Cricetulus griseus: one gene and its partner. The protein of the gene in region 2 interacts with the protein of the main gene of each other region in a biochemical or structural test. Links are inferred from orthologs where the notes say so. Each region holds a gene or a part of one and is shown on either strand. Other genes may lie near its edges. The genes, in order: Hnf1a and Dyrk1b.

Region 1 (10,750 bases), on a different chromosome or scaffold from region 2:
TGAAAGCAGGGACTTATGGGAAGGCCAGCAGCCTATGGCAGGAGACACATGGCAGGCTCAGATGTGTCCAGGCAGCATGGCAGTGGCCTTTCTTGCCCCCTATGCAGGCAGTGCAGGCTCTGGGGACCCAGCGCCTGAGAGGCTGTCACCATGGTTACTGGGAGGAGGAGGCCATCTGGGTGGAGATAAAAGTCTCGATGACACCATGGTTGGATGGCAGCAGGTGGCTGTGCCCATTGGTGGAGTCGGAGCTCTGGTACAACACCAGGCTGCTGGAAGACACTGTAGAAGCAAATGTGGTCACCAGCTGTCGGCCAAGCCCCTCTGACCTCCATCCACCCCACCTGCCTGTCCCTAGGGATGCACCAGAGGGAGAAGACAGAGCCTCACTTTCTGAATCACAACAGATTCCAGGAGCCCAAGTCAGCCCTCTCCCTTCAGGGCCTACAGGGAGCCTCCTGGCTGCTGGGCTGAGTCAAACACTAACATGACTGTTACTGGAAAAGTTGGTTTGCTTTTGCATTACTGGGGATTGAACCCAGGCCCTCAGAAGGTTACTTTGTAGATGTGGTTAACAGTGGATTGGCAAAAATAAAGACAAAAACAAAACAAACAAACAAAAAAAACAAGGTGGTGGTGGTGCATGCCTTTAATACCAGCACTTGGGTGGCAGAGACCGGTGGATCTCTGTGAGTTCAAGACCAGCCTGGTCCACAAGAGCTAGTTCAAAGACAGCCTCCAAAGCCACAGAGAAACCCTGTCTCAAAAAACCAAACAAGAAAAGCCAGTGGATTGGCTTTCAGCAAAAAAAGAAGCTACCCTTGGCCACATGGACAGGCCACATCTAATCAGAAGGCTCTAACTAGAGAGAAAACTGAAGCTTCCTAGAGAAATTCTTCATTGAGACCACTGTTTCCTCCTGCCTGCCACTGTCCAGTGTGTCCCAGCCTGCCAATGTCCGGAGGGACAGGTGGCAGGTGTGCTCACAGCTGTGCCCCACAGTTCCCTATACAAAGTGTGAATGCTATCGACACTGTCTCGAGAGAGCCCAAACTGATGAAAGTGACAGAGGGTGAGCTCTGGGTCCGACCTGGCTGCCATCACACCTGTCTGTTCCCTCAACTCCTTGAGTGTGCATTTGTCCATCTGTACAGTGAGACAGTGTCTCCAGCAACTGCCGTTACAGCCCCAAGGGCCAGCTGGGGGATAGCAGCTTTCCTGAAGTCAAAAAATTGGGGATGGAGGACACCCCAGACCTCAGCCCAGCAACCTCCTTGACACTGTAGGCTGTAAGCTGAGGACAGGGGCTGAGGGTGCATGCATGTCTGCTGTAATGTAATAACATGAGTCCTCCCAGCTTCCCAGAGGAGCCAGAGAGCCAGACTCCTAGGTGAAAGTTGAGTTCTTTGGTTTTCATTGTTTTTTTGTTTTATTTTGTTTTGTTTGTTGTTTTTGGTTTTTCAAGACAGGCTTTCTTTCTGTAACAGCCCTGGCTGTCCTGGAACTCACTTTGTAGACCAGGCTGGTCTCAAAGAGAACCCCCTGCCTCTGCCTCCTGAGCGCTGGGATTAAAGGTGTGCACCACCACCGCCCAGCAAAAGCTGAATTTATAATGCTGGCTGCTCGTTCAAAGACTACATAGAACCCTGGGGAGATGGCATTGTGGGTAAGAATGCTTCAGGGTAGGTGAAAGGGTAAAATAGCTGATGACCTCAGTTCAATCCTTGGGACCCACATGGTGGAGAGAGAACCAACCTCTGACCTCCATTTGGGAAGCCCCACTCCCCCCCCCATCCACCCTCACTCCATCATTGAACACACCACCTTATCCTACTGGGAGACAGCAGATAGCTCACCGGTGGGACTGGTGCTGAGCCGGTGGGCCGGCTGCAGGTGCTGGATGCTCGATGGGTCCTGGCTGGGGATGTGGATGGTGGTGGCTGGAGACGATGGTTCATGAAGCCCAGGCTCACTGGAGCCCTCTGTGTCTGAGGTGAAGACCTGGAGAACCAGGGTAATGCCCTGAGCCCATGGCATAGAGGTATGGGGCTCCGGGCAGGGATTCAGGACACAGGGCCTTACCTGCTTGGTGGGCGTGAGGCTGGCAAGGGCACTGAGGTTGGTGTCTGTGATCAGCATGGTCTGCGGAAGCAGGCTTGTGTGTGTGTACTGGGCCACCTCAGGCTTGTGGCTGTAGAGGGCTGGGAGGAGAGGACACAGATATGGCTCAAGACTGAGCATCTGTGGGAAGTGGGCATGGGGCCTGATGTTACCGTGATGGGGTGGTGCTTGGGGATCCAGATAGGAGAGACAGACCCCCTATCTTCCCATTATAGAGGCCTGCTCAGCTAAGCCAGATTGGGAGCTGCAGGCGAAGGCCCAGCATCAACTCCAGCTCATTGTGTGTTTGTTCCCCCACTGCCCTAGATGGAATACAACCCAGATATGTATAAGCAAATGAGGAGCAGAGGCGCAGTGGGCCTGCACCAAATACAGGTGATGTATTAGACATGAATTCTGCTGCAGTAAACGTAGGTGGAACAAGTGCAGGTGCTGCCTAGTGCTGTGCTCAGTATGTTATACTAAGCAAAGGGACCACAGTAGCATGCACAGGTGCTGTAGCAGGATGTGCAGGTGCCATTGTACCAAAAGCAGGCCTCTGAATGAAAGACTGGTGGCCTCCATCTAGGTGAGCAGGGCAGAGACTAGCAATACCTCTATCTCCAGGACAACTCCAATATGAAACAAAGTTTCACCTGTAGACTTTCCAGGAGACTTGAATGCTCGCTCGCCTAGCACATAGTAATGGCATGCTCTTCTAGGAACTCAGCTAAAAGCAGGGCACCCACACAGAGATTCAGTTTCAGCCTCACACAAGTCCCCAAGTCCATAGCTCCTGTCTCTATGCTGAAGTCCAAAAGGCCTGAAGCCAAAGCATTGCATAAGTTTGGCCCCATGGCCCATTTGGTGGGCAGCCTTATGTGAGGCTCTGTGTGTGTGTGTGTGTGTGTGTGTGTGTGTGTGTGTGTGTGTGTGTGTGTGTGTGCCACCCTGTTTTTTGAGACAGCTCTCTCACTGGCCTGGAGCTCACCAAGAGGCTAGACTGGCTGGCATGGGCCCCAGGGATCATCAGTCAGTATCTACTTTGTCAGCTCTGGAGTTACAAGAAGCACACACTGCCATGCCCCGTGGCTTCTGAAGAATGTGTCTTCATGACTTTACTGACTGAGCTGTTTCCCCACAAACCCTGCATGAAATCTTTAATCTACTGCATGTAGTCCCATCTTTTATTTCAGGAATAACAGTGCTCTGTGGATAGGCGCTGCCCATGCTGTACTGGGAGTAATATGTAACACTTGATATATCCACTTTCTAAAAGTGGCAAAGTCATAAACTGAAGAGTGCATAGCCCCAAGGGTTTCAGATAATAGGCTGTGGCCTGCATCCCAGCACTCAGACAAACAAACCTGGGAACGTGACTGGTGGACACCAGCATTGCACACATTGAAAAGTTCACAAGAGCTCTTGTGCACATACAGAAGCAGGTTGGTGGCCCCTAGATACCTGCACCACACACAAGCAGACCACAGCACCTGCTACCTGCCCTGTCTTGAGCCTACCCACAGGCAACCTCTAACCCACCTCCCCTAGACCAATGTGAGGGATGCTCACCGTGGGGGCTCTGCAGCTGGGCCATGGTGGCCATGAAGGGGCTCTGGGCCACATGGCTCTGTACAGGGGGCATGAGTGGCTGCTGGTAGGAGGGGTGCAGTGGCTGGGAGAACTGGACCGGCTGCAGGGTAGTCAGGCTGCTGCCCATGCTGTTGATGACAGGCACACTCTGTGCCTGAGTGGAGGCCAGACCTAGTGTGGGACAGGCAGGAGTCAGCCAAGCCTCATACCTGCCACCCTGTGTCCTCCCTAGACCCAGCCCAGACCCTCTGAGGGACACTATTCCTCCTTCCCAGGGCTTGTGGATTAAAAGAGAGAGGGGGGCCGGGCGTTGGTGGCGCACACCTTTAATCCCAGCACTCAGGAGGCAGAGGCAGGTTGATCTCTGTGAGTTCGAGGCCAGCCTGGTCTCCAGAGCGAGTGCCAGGATAGGCTCCAAAGCTACACAAAGAAACCCTGTCTCCGGAAAAAAAAAAAAAAGAGGGAGGGGAGGGGCTGAGAAACAGCCCTGCAGTAGGAATGGCCATGAACATGAACTAGTGGCCTTTAGTTCCTCATCTGGCCTGGTGGGAAAGGCAAGCTGGGAGTAGATTAGAGGTTGTCAAGCTGGCTTCCCTGGAGCCCACAGCAGTGGCAAAGCTCCCGGGGCTTCACTCTCTGCTCCCCTCTTCTTAGCAGCTTCCTATGTTTTAGATATTGAGCAGTAGTTCCTGCATATAAAGGGTTTGCAACTTAAAAAAAAAAAAAGTCTAGAAAACATCACACACACACACCCTTACCCTGTGGTCTTCTCAGACTATGATTTCAGTGTATTTTCTACACTGTGCTTATTAGTTCTGTTTGATTCACTGTCTGGGATCATGGGTGCCTGGCCACAGGCACTCAAGTGTTGGATGGATGGATGATGGATGGATGGATGGATGGATGGATGGATGGATGGATGGATGAACCCCTGTGGCTCTTTCCAGATCCCAGACTGCAGGAGACACAGGGGTTCCCATCACCCCCACCTGCTTACCAATGACCAGGGTAGAGGCGCCTGTGTTAGTGAATGTGGGGCCCAGGGAGGCAGGCTCCCCAGGTCCAATGGTCATGACACCAGGCAGTGAAGCCATGATAAGGTTCTGCGGCTGCTGGTTGAGACCTGGAGATGTCTGCTCCAAGCTGTGCAGTGCTGTCAGGGTGCTGACTGGAGGCAGGGGACCCCCAGTGGCTGAGACCTGTGAGGGTAAGTCAAGTTGAGTTGGAATGTCCCCACACTGTCTCCTAGCCATAGAAAATGGGGCTAGGAGGGGATTCCACACAGGGTGGAGCGGCTCACTCACCAGCTTGGCCTCAGTGCTCAGCAGGCTGCTGCTGGGCTCCAGGCCTGTAGGGGACACTTGGTGTAAGGCTGCAGACACTGTCACTAAGGAACCACCGCTGCTAGAGGGCACCTCGGCTGCCTCACTGGTTGCAGGCTGTCCATACCGCACACCTAGAGTGGGGAGCAATATCTAGCCTCAGCACCCCACTTTCCTGTCCTCTTCTGTCCCACAGACCTCACCACACCAGAGCCTACTGTTTTTTTTTTTTTTTTTTTTTTTTTTGGCACCTCATCTTTCCTCCTGTGCTAGCTGCTTCCAGCTCTTTTAATTCATGGTCCTGTGTCCCCCACTGCCTGGTGTGTCCCCCTCTGTAGAAGACACTCAAAGAACAATGGGACTGAGCTGCATGTGGCTCATAAGAACTAAATGGAAATGAACTGAGTTGAGCAGAATGGACTGCAATTGGCCAAATTAAATTAAGTCTCCTTAAATGGGGCCAGAACTGAGTTGAACTAGATTGAGCTTTTGCTGATCTGATCAGAATCCAATTGAATTGGACTAAATTGAATTGAGCTTCACAGCCGGCCCCTTATCCACAGGTGCTGCAACCTCAGATTCAGTCAACTGCTGGATATTTGAAAAAGAAATTCCACATTTGCACTGATGGCATGCAGGTTTTTTTTCTTGTCACTAGTCCTCAGTCAGTGCAATATAACTGTCTACATTGTAATTACACTGCATTGGGTATCATAAGTCCTCCAGAAATGATTCAGTATACAGTAGGATGTGCATGGGTGAGAAGGAAAGACATAGGAGGTGCCTACAAGAGTCCTGGCTCCAATTCCCAGACACCAAGGGTGTACTATCCATAATGAACTGGATCCCAGGAATTAGTCTGCCAGACTGAATGGCTGGATTAGACCATGATCTGAACACGAGCTAGTTGAACGGAAACAGTTGGAATGGATAGGTCCCAAGTGGTTGTGTTGCACTGAAGTAACCGGAGGGCCAGTTGGGTTGACTACAGAGGGTGGGAGTAGCATGGATGCGGAGTTAGTGAGTGCGCAGAATGGCGTGAAGCAGTGTGGATCCCGCTGAATGAAGTGGATGGGGTGCACAGTGCGAACTGGAGTGAGGAGAGAGAGAGAGAGAGAGAGAGAGAGAGAGAGAGAGAGAGAGAGGAGGAGGAGGATGGAAGGAAGATTGTGGGAGGAAACAAAGCAGAAGGGGGGACATGGAGTGGACGAAGTAAGGTGGGTGTAGCGGGTGGGGGCTGCCGTGGAGCACAGACAGAATGAACAGAGTTAGTTAGGCACAGTGGAGCGGGGAGTACAGAGAATTTGGGGGTGGTTGCCACCACCAGGGAAATCCCTCCAGCCCTTCTGCCCACCCACTTTTTCTCCTTACTTCCTATCCCAACTTCCCTCCCCACAGTACTCACCGTGGACCTTACTGGGGGAGAGGGCAGATGTGGGCAGGCCAGGGGAGCTGTGAGCAGTCAGTGCAGGGCCTGGGCCTGGGCCTGGTGGGGGTCCATTGTATGTGTCCATGGCCAGCTTGTGCCGAAAGGCTTCTTCCTTGCGCCGGTTGGCAAACCAGTTGTAGACACGCACCTCCGTGACAAGGTTGGAGCCTAGCCCCTGTGCCTGTGATGGTGACACCCCCCTCTGGATGCACTCAGCCCTGCAAAGATGGTACCCATGAGCCTCCAGGCCAGGCTTGGAGGAGGGAGAACAGTGCTGAGAGGTGGAGTCCACCCAGGCCTGGATTACAATACTAGTCCTGATGGACAAGGGACTTTGCCTCTCCAACCTCAGTCACAATGTGAACAAAATATCCAGAGGGTTGTAGAGGAGATGATGGGAGATAAGTGACCCCCTAAAGTGTTGCTCGGATGGGTGGGGGAAGCTGAGAATCCAATTCAAAGCAATAGGAGGAACTGACTCCTCTCAATGGAGAGCAAGAGTTTGTTGCTAGAGTTTTCTTGTCCTGCTAGGTCCCTCGGCCCTTTGTCCTTCTGTATATATATTTCTCTGTATATATATATTGGTTGATGAATGAAATGCTGTTTGGCCAATAGAGGCAGGAAGATAGACGGGACTAGGAGACAAGGAGAATTCTGGGAAAGGTAGGCAGAGAGAGACCACAAAAGGGGATATCATATAGAGACCAGGAGGATAGGATACACCTTATCTGGTAAGATAAGACCATGTAGAAATACATAGATTAGTAGTTATGGGTTAATAATTAAGACAGAGCTAGCCAGTAAGAAGCCTGAGCCACCGGCCAATAGTTTTATAATTAATATCTGTGTGCTTATTTGGTGCTGAAGCGTGGTGGGACCAGGAGGGAAGGAAACTCTACCAACAAAAGTTCTCAAGGACTGGCCAGCTCCACCGGGGATACAGAGACACCTTCCCTTCCCTAAGACACCAGCTTAGCCTTAGCCCTGGCTAGCCCACCACCCTACCTATTGCACTCCTCCACCAAGGTCTCCCGCTCTTCCTTGCTGGGGTTCTTCTGCCTCTCATAGGCTTGGAACAGGATCTGCTGGGATGCTGGGCCCCACTTGAATCGGTTCCTCCTTCCCTTTTTGGTTGGCAGCTCATCACCCGTGGGCTCTTCGATCAGTCCCCCCTGCCCTGCGTGGGTGAATTCTGTCGGGACAGAGAGTGGTAAGTGGGGCATTGATCGTGTCCACCTTCACGGTCAGCTCACCTGACCAGTCCCCTTCCTCTGTCTTTCTGTTGCCAAAACAGAGCAGTTGGCAGCTAAAACTGAAATAATCTAATCTGGACTGGAGCTGTGAGTCATTTAGTGGAGAGCTTGCCTAGCATGCAGGAAGTCTTGAGGCTAACCCAAAGCCAAGGCCCACCTTCTGCTATAGGAGGACTTGGTGCTATAAATCCCAGCACTCAAGAGGCAGAGGCAGGCAGAGCTCTGTGAGTTCAAGGCCAGCCTGCTTTGCATACTGAATTCCAGGTCAGCTAGGTCTACACAGAGAGACCCTGTCTTAACAAATGAACAAAACAACAATTCATTAACTTGGCCTGGAGTACCACATTCTCCACAGCTGTGGCCTATTCACACCCACTCACATTGCCTCTGAGGTCACCATCTTAATTCTGTCCACAGGATGGCAGGAGCCACCAATCAGACCTGAGGTACCAGACACTGTGGCTTGACCTGAAACACTTTATTTTTAATATTTGTTGTGTGTGAGTGTCATGTGTATGTGGGTGCTGACAGAGGGCTGAAAAGGGTGTTTCAGATGACTGTAAAACACCTAATGTGGGTGCTGGGAATTGAACTTGAGTCCTCAGGAAGAGTAGCATTTGTTTTTTCTTGATACATCATCTCACTTTGTAATTCTGTCTGTCCTAGAACTTGGTATATAGATCAGGCTGGTCTCCAACTCACAGCTAGCCACCTGCCTCTGTCTCCCCAGTGCTGGGATTAAAAGCATGTGCCACCACCACTCGTGAATATATACTTCTTAAAGATGAATTCCAATAACTATATGATAAGATCAGTGTGATGAGTTACCAAAAAAAAAAATTAAACTTAAAAACACAATACAGCCAGGCAGTAGTGGTGCATGCCTTTAAACCCCAGCACTCAAGAGGCAAGTGGATCTCTGTGAGTTCAAGGCCAGCCTAGTCTACAGCATGAGTTCCAGGACAGCCAAGATTGCTGCACAGAGAAACCCTGTCTCGAAAACAACAACAACAAAAAAATACAAAAAAAAGACCAAAAAGAAAAGCACAATATAATACTACCATGTGTACAACATGGTTAAAAATGAGAAAGATGCACATTAACAAGTGTTGGACAAAGATTCTGAAGCACCTGGGATGCAGAGACCCTGCTGGTTGGAGTGCAAAACAACGATTGGGCAGGGTCTAATAAGACCCACTAAGTAGAATTGTGTGTACACCTTTAGCAAAAAGCCTGAGTGAAAATGTTCAGAGCAGTCCTATTCACAGGATCAAAAGATCAGAAGCAATCCAAAAAAGAATAATGTCAGCCAGGTGGTGGAAATGCACACCTTTAATCTGGGCACTCGGGAGGCAGAGGCAGGTGGATCTCTGTGAGTTCGAGACTATAGAGTGAGTGCCAGGACAGGCTCCAAAGCTACAGAGAGAAGCCCTGTCTCAAAAAAAAAAAAATAAAACAAAACAAAAAAAAAAACAAAATAAATAAAGTCCCTTAGTGAGTGGCTAGTTAAACAAATAACGATATCTCCCATTAACAGTCAACTATTAGAAACCTTAGAAAGAGTATACCAAGTTGAATGTAGTAGAACACACTTACCATCCTAGCACTTGGGAGTCTGAGTCAGCAAGATCACAGGTTCAAGACCAACCTGGGCTACATAGTGAGCCCCTGTCTCAGAAAGTAAACAGAGGGCTGGGAGCTTAGCTCTGTGCATGGTAGAGCACACATGTAACGTGTGTGAGGCTTTGTGTTTAATCACAAGTATCAGAGAGAGACATGTGGGGGTGGAGAGAAAAGCTCTTCAGTCTCTTAAGTCAGCAGTTCTCAACCAGTGGGTCACAACCCCACAGGGGCTTCATATCATAGATTTACATTATGATTCATAACAGTAGCAAAGTTAAAGTTATGAAGTAGCAATGAAGTAATTTTACGGTTGGGGTCACCACAAAATGTGGAATTGCATTAAAGGGTCGCTGAGTTAGGAAGGCTGAGAACCATTCCTTAAGTAATAGCGTCTGAGCTTCTCATGCTGTTCCCTCTTGATTGCGACACCCTCTTTATTCCTCCACAGGGACACTTTAGGACCTCAGCAATGGTCATGAATCTCACGGGACCATCCCAAAACCTCGGCTCTCTGAGACAGAGGAGCTTTCTCTCCCCTCCACAGCCTGCTCATCATTTTCCTCTGCACTAAGCCCAGCACACAGCAAGTGCTCAATTAATACTATGGCTGGGTTTTGTTGTTAGCATATGTAACCCACGCCTCACTCTATCATAGTGATCTCTCTCAGTTTCCCGGAACGAGAGATCCAGTAGGTGTATCTGTAGATCCCTGGGACCAATCCGGCTCCCTTCCCTTGGTGCCTTGCGCAGAGTGGGCAGTAAATTTGGGGACATCCTTCTGGCTCCCTCTCAGTCTCACTTGTCTGTACGATGGGGGTGGCGACATTCCCACCCCACCTGCCAGGGAGGACACAGGCTGGGGTCATTACTTACGCTGAGCCACCTCTCGCTGCTTGCGGACGTACCAGGTGTACAGAGCGGCCCGCTTCTGCGTCTTCATGGGGGTGCCCTTGTTCAGGTGCTGCGACAGGTGGGACTGGTTGAGACCCGTAGTGTCGACCACCTCCCGCTGCGGGATGTTGTGCTGCTGCAAATAGGACTTGACCATCTTTGCCACGCGCCATGGGTCCTCTCTGGAAGGGAGCAAGGACACGGTCTGCTCAGTGGCCCTTCCTGACACCTCAGGTGAGGCCGGGTCCCCAGGACTAGTGGAATAGGGCCCTGCTCTGTGGGTAGGACCTGTGCTCAGGTTCCATACTAGGACACATGTACACATGACCAGATTCCCACCGGAAGCTGTGCCAGCCAAATAGGGAAGACCTTTACCTATGACTCCTCAAAGTCCCTCCCCTCTTCTGGACTTGCTCACCAGTGTGGGTGTGTGCACATACATGCGTGCATATGCACATGTGTGTAGGTCAGTTTTCTCCTTTCACCTTTACATGGGTCCTGCAGATGGAACTCAAGCCACAGGTTTCTGCAACAAGTGC
Region 2 (9,603 bases):
AGGAAGAGACTGAGGAAAAAAAAGGGTCTCCAGGCGGCAGCAGCATGATTGTTGGAAGATCTCTGAGGATGTTGGCGGCCTGGTGACAACTGGAAGAATTTCAGGTGGCGTTTGGAAAGTCCACACTTATTACTCCTGCCATGAGGACTGAGTTATTGAGCTTCTCCATGGCCCTCCATCTCTGGTTTCAAGGGTTAAGAAAATTAAGTGTAATGTTTGTTGGGCTCAGAACTGTCTCTGGCACACAACAGACCAGAACACAGGTCTTGGTGTCCACAAGAGACAGCGGTTTGGAGTGAAAAGCCTGGAGAGTGAGCTGAGGGGAGTGGGAAACCCAAAAAGTCTGATCCCCATCCCAGCGCTTTAAGAACTGGGCACAGACATGGAAATACAGGGAATTCAGTGGCCTGGTTCCCAGAAACAGTGGTCTTGGGTACAGAGAATCCAGGTTTCCATTTCAGTGCATCCACTGAGCTTTAGAAGGTAATACAGACAGAAAGCAGATGAGCTGACCAGGGGCTGGGTAGACGGTCATTTACTTCATCATGCAACGAGCAGCTGTCTGGGGAACCTCAATGTTTGACAGGCCCCATAGAATGGGATCTGACCCTGGGGAAGCTCTGCTCTTGTGCAGAGCTAGGTAAATGTGGGTATGGCCAAACAGCCATCGGCTTTACCCTTCCTTCTCTCCCTGGAGGCTGGAGGTGAAGGTGCTCTGTGTCTGCCCCTGTCCCCCACAGGTATTGCCTGATGTGCGGCTACTTCCTCGGAGACTGCCCCTGGCCTTCCGGGACGCAACCTCAGCCCCGCTGCGCAAGCTCTCAGTGGACCTCATCAAGACCTACAAGCACATCAATGAGGTGGGTGCAGCGGGGGATTCCCCCGGCTGGGTGCTGAAGAGAGTCCTGGCTGCTTGCCAAGGTCACTCAAGGGTCCGTTTTCCTGGCCGCCTGAGCAGGTATACTATGCGAAGAAGAAGCGGCGGGCCCAACAGGCGCCACCCCAGGACTCGAGCACCAAAAAGGAGAAGAAGGTCCTGAACCACGGTTATGACGACGACAACCACGACTACATTGTGCGCAGTGGCGAGCGCTGGCTGGAGCGCTATGAGATTGACTCTCTTATTGGCAAAGGCTCCTTTGGCCAGGTGTGGGACTCCCCCACTCATCCAGTGTCTGGGTGCAGACAGCCACTAACCCTACCCACATTCCCTCCACCCCCAGAGTTCTGTCCTGGGCCAGTCTCTCAAGCCATTCAGTTTCCCTCTGTCTCAGTTTCTGTGGAAGTGTAAATAAGAAGACTCCACACTAGGGAACTCACAATTTTGTATCCAGTAGGAGGGCTGTGAGTGCTGGGCTGAGTGTCAGGTGGGCCTCCCACCTCCCCGGGTAACTCTCCATGTCTCGACAGGTGGTGAAAGCCTATGATCACCAGACCCAGGAGCTGGTGGCCATCAAGATCATCAAAAACAAAAAGGCCTTCCTGAACCAGGCACAGATTGAGCTGCGGTTGCTGGAGCTGATGAACCAGCATGACACAGAGATGAAGTACTACATAGGTGAGGCCTGCCCCTGGGTGAGCGCAGGGCGCCTGTGTGGAGATAGCGCCAATAAGGGTGGCTCTTCAGGCTCCTCCGCCTCAGGGGGTCTCCTGCTGTGGTCATGACTCTTCTTCTGTGCTTATTTAACAGTGGTCAGTGTTTATCCAGTGCTCGCTAAGGGCCAGACTGCTGCAAACATTTCCTGTGAATTACCTCACGCCAGCCCAGTGAGGGAGAGGGCAGTTCTGTGCACGTTAGAGATAGGAAAGTGAGGCACTCAGTGCTGTCACGTACATGAGGGGACAGTTTATACAGAACAGAATTAGAGATGTGTCCTCTGGAAAGGGACTGACAAATGGCTTAAAAGGACAGCCAGTGTCGCTTGCCACAAAGACAGATACAGCTAAAAGGAAAGCAGATTCGTTTGTTCATTTGGGTTTTTGTTGGTGGTGCCACTTCTTGGGGTTTTGTTTTGCCATACTGGGGATCAAGCCCAGTGCTTCATGTATAGTAGGCAAGTGCTTCTCCCCAGAACTGCGCCTCTGGACCTCTTTTTACTTAGGTATTTTGAGACAGAGTTACCTGACAAGCCTTGGGTTCATGCTCTTCCTCATCCCCATCTGAAGACCTTGGTCTTCATGCCCGCACACCAGGCCTGGCTCGGTGTTATGAATGAAATGAGGAAGCCTGGGATTGCTTTGAAGCTCTATTAGGAGATAACTGCATTTTATTTCCCTATGCTGGGCTGAGGCTTGAACCCAGAGCCTTGTGTTTGCTAGGCAAACAGGCTCCCACCCTTTGGCCATCCCTTAGCCTATGCCAGCGTAACCCTAAGGTTACTCTACCCTTTGTTTTGTTTTTTTTTTTTTGGCTTCACTGTGTACCAAGCTGGCCCTGAACTCGTCATCTTCCCATTTAGCTTCCCAAGCGCTGGCATTACACAGTCATGCTTACTATTCCCCGCTGGCAGAAACCTTCCTTTTGGTGACAAGTGGAAGGTCTGAGAGCCTCAAGAGATTTAGCATGCTTTGCGAGTCCGATGCACAGACACCTGAGGGCTCGCTGCAGTTTAGCAGAGGCGGTTACCGTGTGGCCCTGGGCCGCCTGTCCTCTCGCCTGTTTCTCATCTGTGGCCTGCTGTCCCCCACAGTGCACCTGAAGCGGCACTTCATGTTTCGAAATCATCTGTGCCTGGTGTTTGAGCTGCTGTCCTACAACCTGTACGACCTCCTGCGCAACACACACTTCCGCGGTGTCTCTCTGAACCTGACCCGGAAGCTGGCGCAGCAGCTCTGCACAGCGCTGCTCTTTCTGGCCACGCCCGAGCTCAGCATCATCCACTGCGACCTCAAGCCCGAGAACATCCTGCTCTGCAATCCTAAGCGCAGTGCCATCAAGATCGTGGACTTTGGCAGCTCCTGTCAGCTTGGCCAGCGGGTGCGGCTCCGACTCTGGGCAGGGCCCGTGTTTTGGGTGGAATGGGATAGGACAGCTTGGTTTTGACCCTGGAAGCTGATGAGAAGCTGAGAGATGACATTGGGCATAGGGAGGCCGGTCTGAAGGGAGGGGAGCAGAGATGAAGAGGGCAGAGGAGACTCAAGCAAGGAAGAGAAAGGGTGACCCCCAGAGCAGAGCCTGAACTCTGCTTTGCGGACTTGTGCTCTTCAGGTCACAGGTAGAGACCTTGAATTCGTGCAGCCTTGTGTGAGCAGGCAGAGGGGTCACTCACTACTAGTAGTAGTTCAGTATGGGATGGCCAGCCTCTCCTAAACAGCAGGGACCAGAGCTGGGAGCAGAGGCAGGGTTAAAGCAGGCCAATGAAGACTGGAAGCTGATGAGCAGGACAGCGACTGGTTTGTGCAGCATTGCTGAGAATCTAGAGGCTCCATCCTGTGTTCGAGCAGGGGCTTGTCTTCAGTTGAGTGTCCCGGGGGAACCAGCAGGGGAGCCAGTGCCCTGACTCCTGTCCCCTTCCCCAGATCTACCAGTACATCCAGAGCCGCTTCTACCGTTCCCCCGAGGTGCTCCTGGGCACACCCTATGACCTGGCCATCGACATGTGGTCCCTGGGCTGCATCCTTGTGGAGATGCACACCGGAGAGCCCCTCTTCAGCGGCTCCAATGAGGTGTGCCCCTGGAAGGGGTGTGCTGGAGGTGGAGGGGTGGAGCCTGGCCGCCCGGCGCCCCTGACCGCCACCTGCCCGCAGGTGGACCAGATGAGCCGCATTGTCGAGGTGTTGGGCATCCCGCCCGCGCCCATGCTGGAACAGGCACCCAAGGCTCGCAAGTACTTTGAGCGGCTGCCTGGGGGCGGCTGGACCCTACGAAGGACAAAGGAACTCAGGAAGGTGCGGCCCCTGCCCTGTGCCACTTCTCCCTCCCTGGGTGGCCCCTCACTCACACTTGGGGCTCCCCTCTCCCTGCGTCTTTCCCTGTCTTTCTCCCCCACCCCTTGTCTGTCCTTTGCTTCCTCCCCTGCCTATCCCGTCACCGTCCCACCCCACAGCTCTTGTTAGCTTCTCTCTTGCTCTCTTGTGCCTCTGTTTCCCCGTGTGTGTCTCCCTGCCCCTCCTGCCCACTGACGGCCACTCTCTTGCCCCCCCTCCCACCCCCTCCCTGCCAGGATTACCAGGGCCCCGGGACACGGCGGCTGCAGGAGGTGCTGGGCGTGCAGACGGGCGGGCCCGGGGGCCGGCGGGCGGGGGAGCCGGGCCACAGCCCCGCCGACTACCTCCGCTTCCAGGACCTGGTGCTGCGCATGCTGGAGTATGAGCCCGCCGCCCGCATCAGCCCTCTGGGCGCTCTGCAGCACGGCTTCTTCCGCCGCACGGCCGACGAGGCCACCAACACGGGCCCGGCAGGCAGCAGTGCCTCCACCTCGCCCGCACCCCTCGACACCTGCCCCTCCTCTAGCACCGCCAGCTCCATCTCCAGCTCTGGTGGGTGCCCACTGTCACGTGTGCCGCAGGGCCCAGCCTGGGATACCTCCCGCTGGGCCTCTGTCCTAGAGCCTTAGAGCTAAGCTACCAGATTCTGAGCTGCAGGGTGAGGTGGGGTGGGACAGTCCCACGTGATCCAGGCTTGAGAGTCAGCCCCTAAAGCTGCCTCTAGCCTCCCACACAACTCTGACCCAAGATCTCAAAATCAGGCTGTTAGAGCCTTCAAACCAGCTCTGGCCTCAGAGTCCCAGCATGGCGCCTAGATGTTGAGCAGACTGCCTGCATCTTACCGCCACTGCCCTCTTTTCTCCTTCCCGGTGCTTCCAGGAGGCTCCAGTGGCTCCTCCAGTGACAACAGGGCCTACCGCTACAGCAACCGATATTGTGGGGGACCTGGGCCCCCCATCACCGACTGTGAGATGAACAGCCCCCAGGTACTAGAGCTTGAAACCTTGGAGGTGGGTGGCAGGCGCTTAACACTTCAGGACCTTAACATCCTTCGGTTTTTTGTTTTTTTAAGGTTATACCCTCCCAGCCTCTGCGCCCCTGGGCAGGGGGTGATGTGCCCCACAAGACACATCAAGCCCCTACCTCTGCCTCGACATTGCCAGGGACTGGGGCCCAGTTACTCCCTCAACCCCGATGCCTTGGACGTCCCGCATCGCCAACGTCACCACCACCCCCGGAGCTGATGGATGTGAGCCTGGTGGGCAGCCCTCCAGACTGCTCCCCACCTCATCCAGCACCTGCCCCCCAGCACCCGGCTGCCTCATCACTCCGGACTCGGATGACGGGAGGTCGACCACCTCTCCCACCCCCGGATGACCCTGCCACTCTAGGGCCTCGCCTGAGCCTCCACGGTGTACCCCAGAGCACAGCAGCCAGCTCATGACCCTGCCCCCTCCCTGGGGCCCCTCCTGAAGCCATACCCCCTCCCCCCATCTGGGGGCCCTAGGCTCCCATCCTCATCTCTCCCCTTGACTGGACTTGCTGCTACCCAGCTGGGGTGGGTGAGGCCTGCACTGATTGGGGCCCAGGGCAGGGGGTCAAGGGAGAGGGGTTTTGGCCACGCCCTCCCCACTAAGACTGGACCCTTGGCCCCCTCTCCTCCCTTGTTTTCTATTTATTGTACCAAAGACAGTGGTGGTCCGGTAGAGGGGGAGATTCCCCCTCACCCCAGGACCCTAGGAGGGGGTGGGGGCAGGTAGGGGGAGATGGCCTTGCTCCTCCTTGCTGTACCCCCCAGTAAAGAGCTTTCTCACATGCCTGCCTGAGCGTTTGCAGGGCCTTGGCTCCCTCTCCTGACCCTCAGAGGCATGGTGGGGAAGGGTGCTTTGTGGTGTGGGTATTGGCCCTCCTGGGGACATCATCCTTCTTGGTGCAGGCATGGGGCAGCAGGAGGTTGGCGGGCTGTAGAACCATAGACACATCCTGGGTACAAGAATCCTAGCCCACATCTGCCTTTTCCGGGGTAAAAAGGTCCCTTTCTGGCCTGTTGCTGGAAATTGTAATGTTCTGCCCTCATCTGCCAGGGCTCCCATAGAGTCCACCCAGGAATGGCTTTTTTGTGTCGGGCAGGCACCCAGTAGGCTCTGGGTATACTCTACAGGCCTTCCTTGGTTACTATCCAGAGAGGCTATGGGGACAGATTTTACCCCACCTGTATCCAGTCCCATTCTGGAGTCATTGCAGAATATTGAGATTCTCGGGCAAAAAGACGCTCCCTGACTTCCAGGTAAGTGATTTTTGTTTCATGGCAATTTGGAACCAGCTGTCTTCCCACCCAGTCTTGCAAGAACTACCTGATTCAAACTGTTAAGAGCGCTTACAACGGGCAGGCGCGGTGACTCCTGGGAGATGGAGTTCTACAAGACCGGCTCTTTGCTCACTTTTCTTGGGGAACTACAAAGCCCAGAAGTCTCTGCGCACATGGTTGGGGACTGGTGTTCGATGAGCTGTCGGGCATTAGGGCCCGGATGTGGGCGGGTCAGTAGGAAGGGCGGCGATTGGATGACACGCCGGGGAGGAGTAGGGGCGTGGTCAGCCCGCTTTGCAGGGCCTGGGCGGGGCGGGGCGGGGCCGCGGTGAGCTAAGTCCTGGTGATCGATCATTTTGAGAATGCCGGTTAGGGTTTATCGGGTATCTTTGGTTATCTAGAGAGCTGGACTTGTTGGAAGTCCTCTCATTGTGAGGCACAATGAGAGGAAGATGGATAGTCTGGTCTTTCTGAAAATATGGAAGCAGGTTGCAGAAAAAGACTCGGGTCTGGCGTCTTGTGGCAGGCCCCCTAGGATGTGACAGGGCAGGGACGGGGCTGAGAAGGCCAGGAAAGGACAGGTGAGCTTTCCAGACGACTGGGTGGACAGGCTGAGTGGAGGGATGAGGTAGAGAGGGGCGGGGAAGGAAGGTCCCCAACACATAGAGAGCGCCCCCGTGCCCCCGTGCCCCCGTGCCCCCGTTGGTAGTCTCGGTTTGGTTTGGTTTGGTTTTTTATGTGTTTTTGTAGTGCTGGGGATGGAACCCAGGAAATCCCAGATGTTAGGCAAAGTGTTCTACAACCCAGCCTCCCAGGAAGAAGACTTTGAATGAACAGTTCTAGAAGCCAGGGACTACAGTGACCTCTCCAGGTTTGGGGATAGTGAAGGCAGATGGAAGTTAAATTACTTGCCTAGGATCACACGACTAGGAAGTAGGCTCAGGTTGGGGTGTGTGTGTGTGTGTGTGTGTGTGTGGTGTGTGTGTGTGTGTGTGTGTGTGTGTGTGTGTGTGTGTGTGTGTGTGTGTGTGTGTGCCAGTCATTGATTTAACAAAGTGTATTTGAGCCTGGAGACATCAGCAGGTCCAGATCCTGTAGGCCCTGTGAGGAATATGGAATGAGCCTGGGATGTTGGGATGTCATTTGTATCTGCGGTTGAGAATCATGCTCCAGGCTGACTGACTGACGACCTGACCCCTCCTTGGGTATCTCCAAGGTGCTCTCATAGTTCAAACAGCTGAATACGTGGCATCCTCCTTGGTCTTCCTGCCATCACCATCTCCCCCCCCCCCCCCATGTAACCAAAGAAACTCTGAGCACCTGATTGTCCCTCCCTGCTGAGACTCCTCCTGGACTCCATCTCACTCAGGGTAAAAGCCCAAGTCCTTCCTGTGACCTGCGGGGCCTTCACCATCTGCCTCTCCTCCAGCACACTAGCCTCAGGGCCTTGGTGCTTGGTGTTCTCTTTGCCTGGACCATTGACCACTCTTCTGAATTATACTGCTAATGTCCCTGTCCATTTTCCCTTCAACATCTTCCTTATGTCAGTCATATCGCTGGCACATGCTGGAATTTATCTTGTCACCTGCCTCCCGTTCTGGGAGCCCTTGGACTTCTTGGAAGCAAGCATTTGGGTCACTTTATGCTTCTCTCCCACACAGAAGGATATGTGGCATGTAGCAGGGCTCACTATCAGATGAGCGCTTGCAGAGCGTAGATCTGGATTCCAGCCTCCTGGGATTCTACTCGCCCCCTTCCGTACAACTCTGAGAGCTCATTTCCGAGAGCTCAAGACAGTCAACAGGTATTTTGCCTCTGCAGTACACAAAGTGGAGACACAGCAGAGAAGAAGGGCTAGCCCTATAGCATCCCTGCTGTAAAGAACTCAGTCTCAAGGTGGGGGTTCAGTCAGGTAGATAGCACAGCAATGAGCAACAGAAGTGACCAGGATCAAGAGCATTGAAGGAACACTTGATAGGCACTTCTAATCTGGCTCCAAGGAAGCGATTCCAGACCATGGGGTTAGCATCAGCTCTATTCAGAGAGGAGTGTGGACGTGGTGATTTTCACCTCGAGGCTGAGCTGGAACAGGGAGCATACCGAGCGTCCCCACTGCAGAGAGTAGTGGGAGAATTAAACACTGGGACAGAGAGGAAGGTTAGCTGTGTTGGGATTTTGGTTTGGTTTGGTTTAGATTTATTTATTTTATGTGTGTGAGTATTTTGCCTGTATGTATGTCTGCACCATGAGCATGCCTGGTGCCCACAGAGGTCAGAAGAGGGCATTCAGTCGCCTAAAACTGGAGTTAGGGATAGTTGTGGACCATTTTGTGGGTGCTAGGAACTGAACTCAGGTCCTGAGGAAGAACCACTGAGCCATCTCCCCAGGCCTAGATAGATATTTTTAAAGGTTCCACTGATGGGTGTTATAATGGCTACCTTTAAAGACAGTCCCCATTCTGCTGTTTCTGCTCAAGATGGGGAATCTCCTTCCTCTTAAGTAATGGCTGAGCCAGTAATTTGATCAGCACAAGAAGAGACGCTGAGCCCAGTGACCTTCACAGGTTCGACGGCCTCTCCGTTCACCCCTGGTGCTCTGACTCCGTTATAGAGAGAGGTCGAGCATCTGCCCCACCCATTTGAGCTGTGCCAGCTATGTGCATGGCATCTGGGGCTCTTCTAGCCCAGCTGACACTACCCTGAGTCTTCCTCAGGCCACTCTCCCTGAGCTGTGTCCATGTTCCAGAATCATGAAAGAAACAATTGAGATTTCATGACACCGTTGGAGGATGATTTGTTACTCAGCAAAAGCTGACTGAAGTAAGGCAGCATTTTCAAAATCACACGGTGGTGAGACTGTGTAATTATGGGATAACTAATTGAATTCTCACAGCTAAATAGTATTGTCGTACCCACCCTCCGGATGAAGAATCAAAGCACAGAGATGTCACTGAAGCGTTGCAAGGCACCGTACCTGGAGTTCATCCTGAGTTCTCAGGCGTTAATATCAGCACTGAGCTTGTCAGAATTCAGGTCTTCATAGATGTTGACGAGGTGGTGGGCTGGTGAGTAGAAGAATTCTTAAGCAGCTTCTAGGAGTGTTGTTCTAGGCCATCTCCTGGGCAGGATGGGGAGAGCAATCCGTCTTTGGTGGTGGAGTGCCATGGAGTCAGCTTGCTTCTGAGATGCTCACAGGGAATCCAGCAGGTGGCTGTAGAGCCAAGTCAGATGGAGCCTCCTGTTACTAGGAAGCCACGATGTCCTAGTTGAGTCCTGGGTCCTGTTGGCTGCTTGTTGATTCATCCAGTCGCAGGCACCACTTTGTGAGCACTGTTGGGGTCCCAGTGCTACAGCAGCAAACGGGTGCCC

Evidence for each region.
Region 1: of the proteins of Dyrk1b (region 2) and Hnf1a, one has a biochemical effect on the other in vitro, tested with the Homo sapiens proteins (2 studies listed by IntAct, with this or other methods). The link is inferred for Cricetulus griseus from reciprocal best matches to the Homo sapiens genes DYRK1B and HNF1A.

The regions. Positions count from the first base shown.
Region 1 is NC_048597.1:94,534,435-94,545,184, forward strand, and holds part of Hnf1a (hepatocyte nuclear factor 1-alpha), read right to left. Parts: intron 10,394-10,750; coding exon 10,194-10,393; intron 7,637-10,193; coding exon 7,450-7,636; intron 6,663-7,449; coding exon 6,421-6,662; intron 5,150-6,420; coding exon 4,998-5,149; intron 4,893-4,997; coding exon 4,691-4,892; intron 3,865-4,690; coding exon 3,673-3,864; intron 2,202-3,672; coding exon 2,083-2,201; intron 2,023-2,082; coding exon 1,857-2,022; intron 283-1,856; coding exon 155-282; 3' UTR 1-154. UniProt on the Homo sapiens protein: Transcriptional activator that regulates the tissue specific expression of multiple genes, especially in pancreatic islet cells and in liver. Binds to the inverted palindrome 5'-GTTAATNATTAAC-3'.
Region 2 is NC_048602.1:7,909,362-7,918,964, reverse strand, and holds the end of Dyrk1b (dual specificity tyrosine-phosphorylation-regulated kinase 1B), read left to right. Parts: intron 1-740; coding exon 741-860; intron 861-958; coding exon 959-1,147; intron 1,148-1,410; coding exon 1,411-1,558; intron 1,559-2,690; coding exon 2,691-2,977; intron 2,978-3,519; coding exon 3,520-3,666; intron 3,667-3,747; coding exon 3,748-3,888; intron 3,889-4,163; coding exon 4,164-4,479; intron 4,480-4,806; coding exon 4,807-4,913; intron 4,914-4,999; coding exon 5,000-5,371; 3' UTR 5,372-5,742; downstream 5,743-9,603.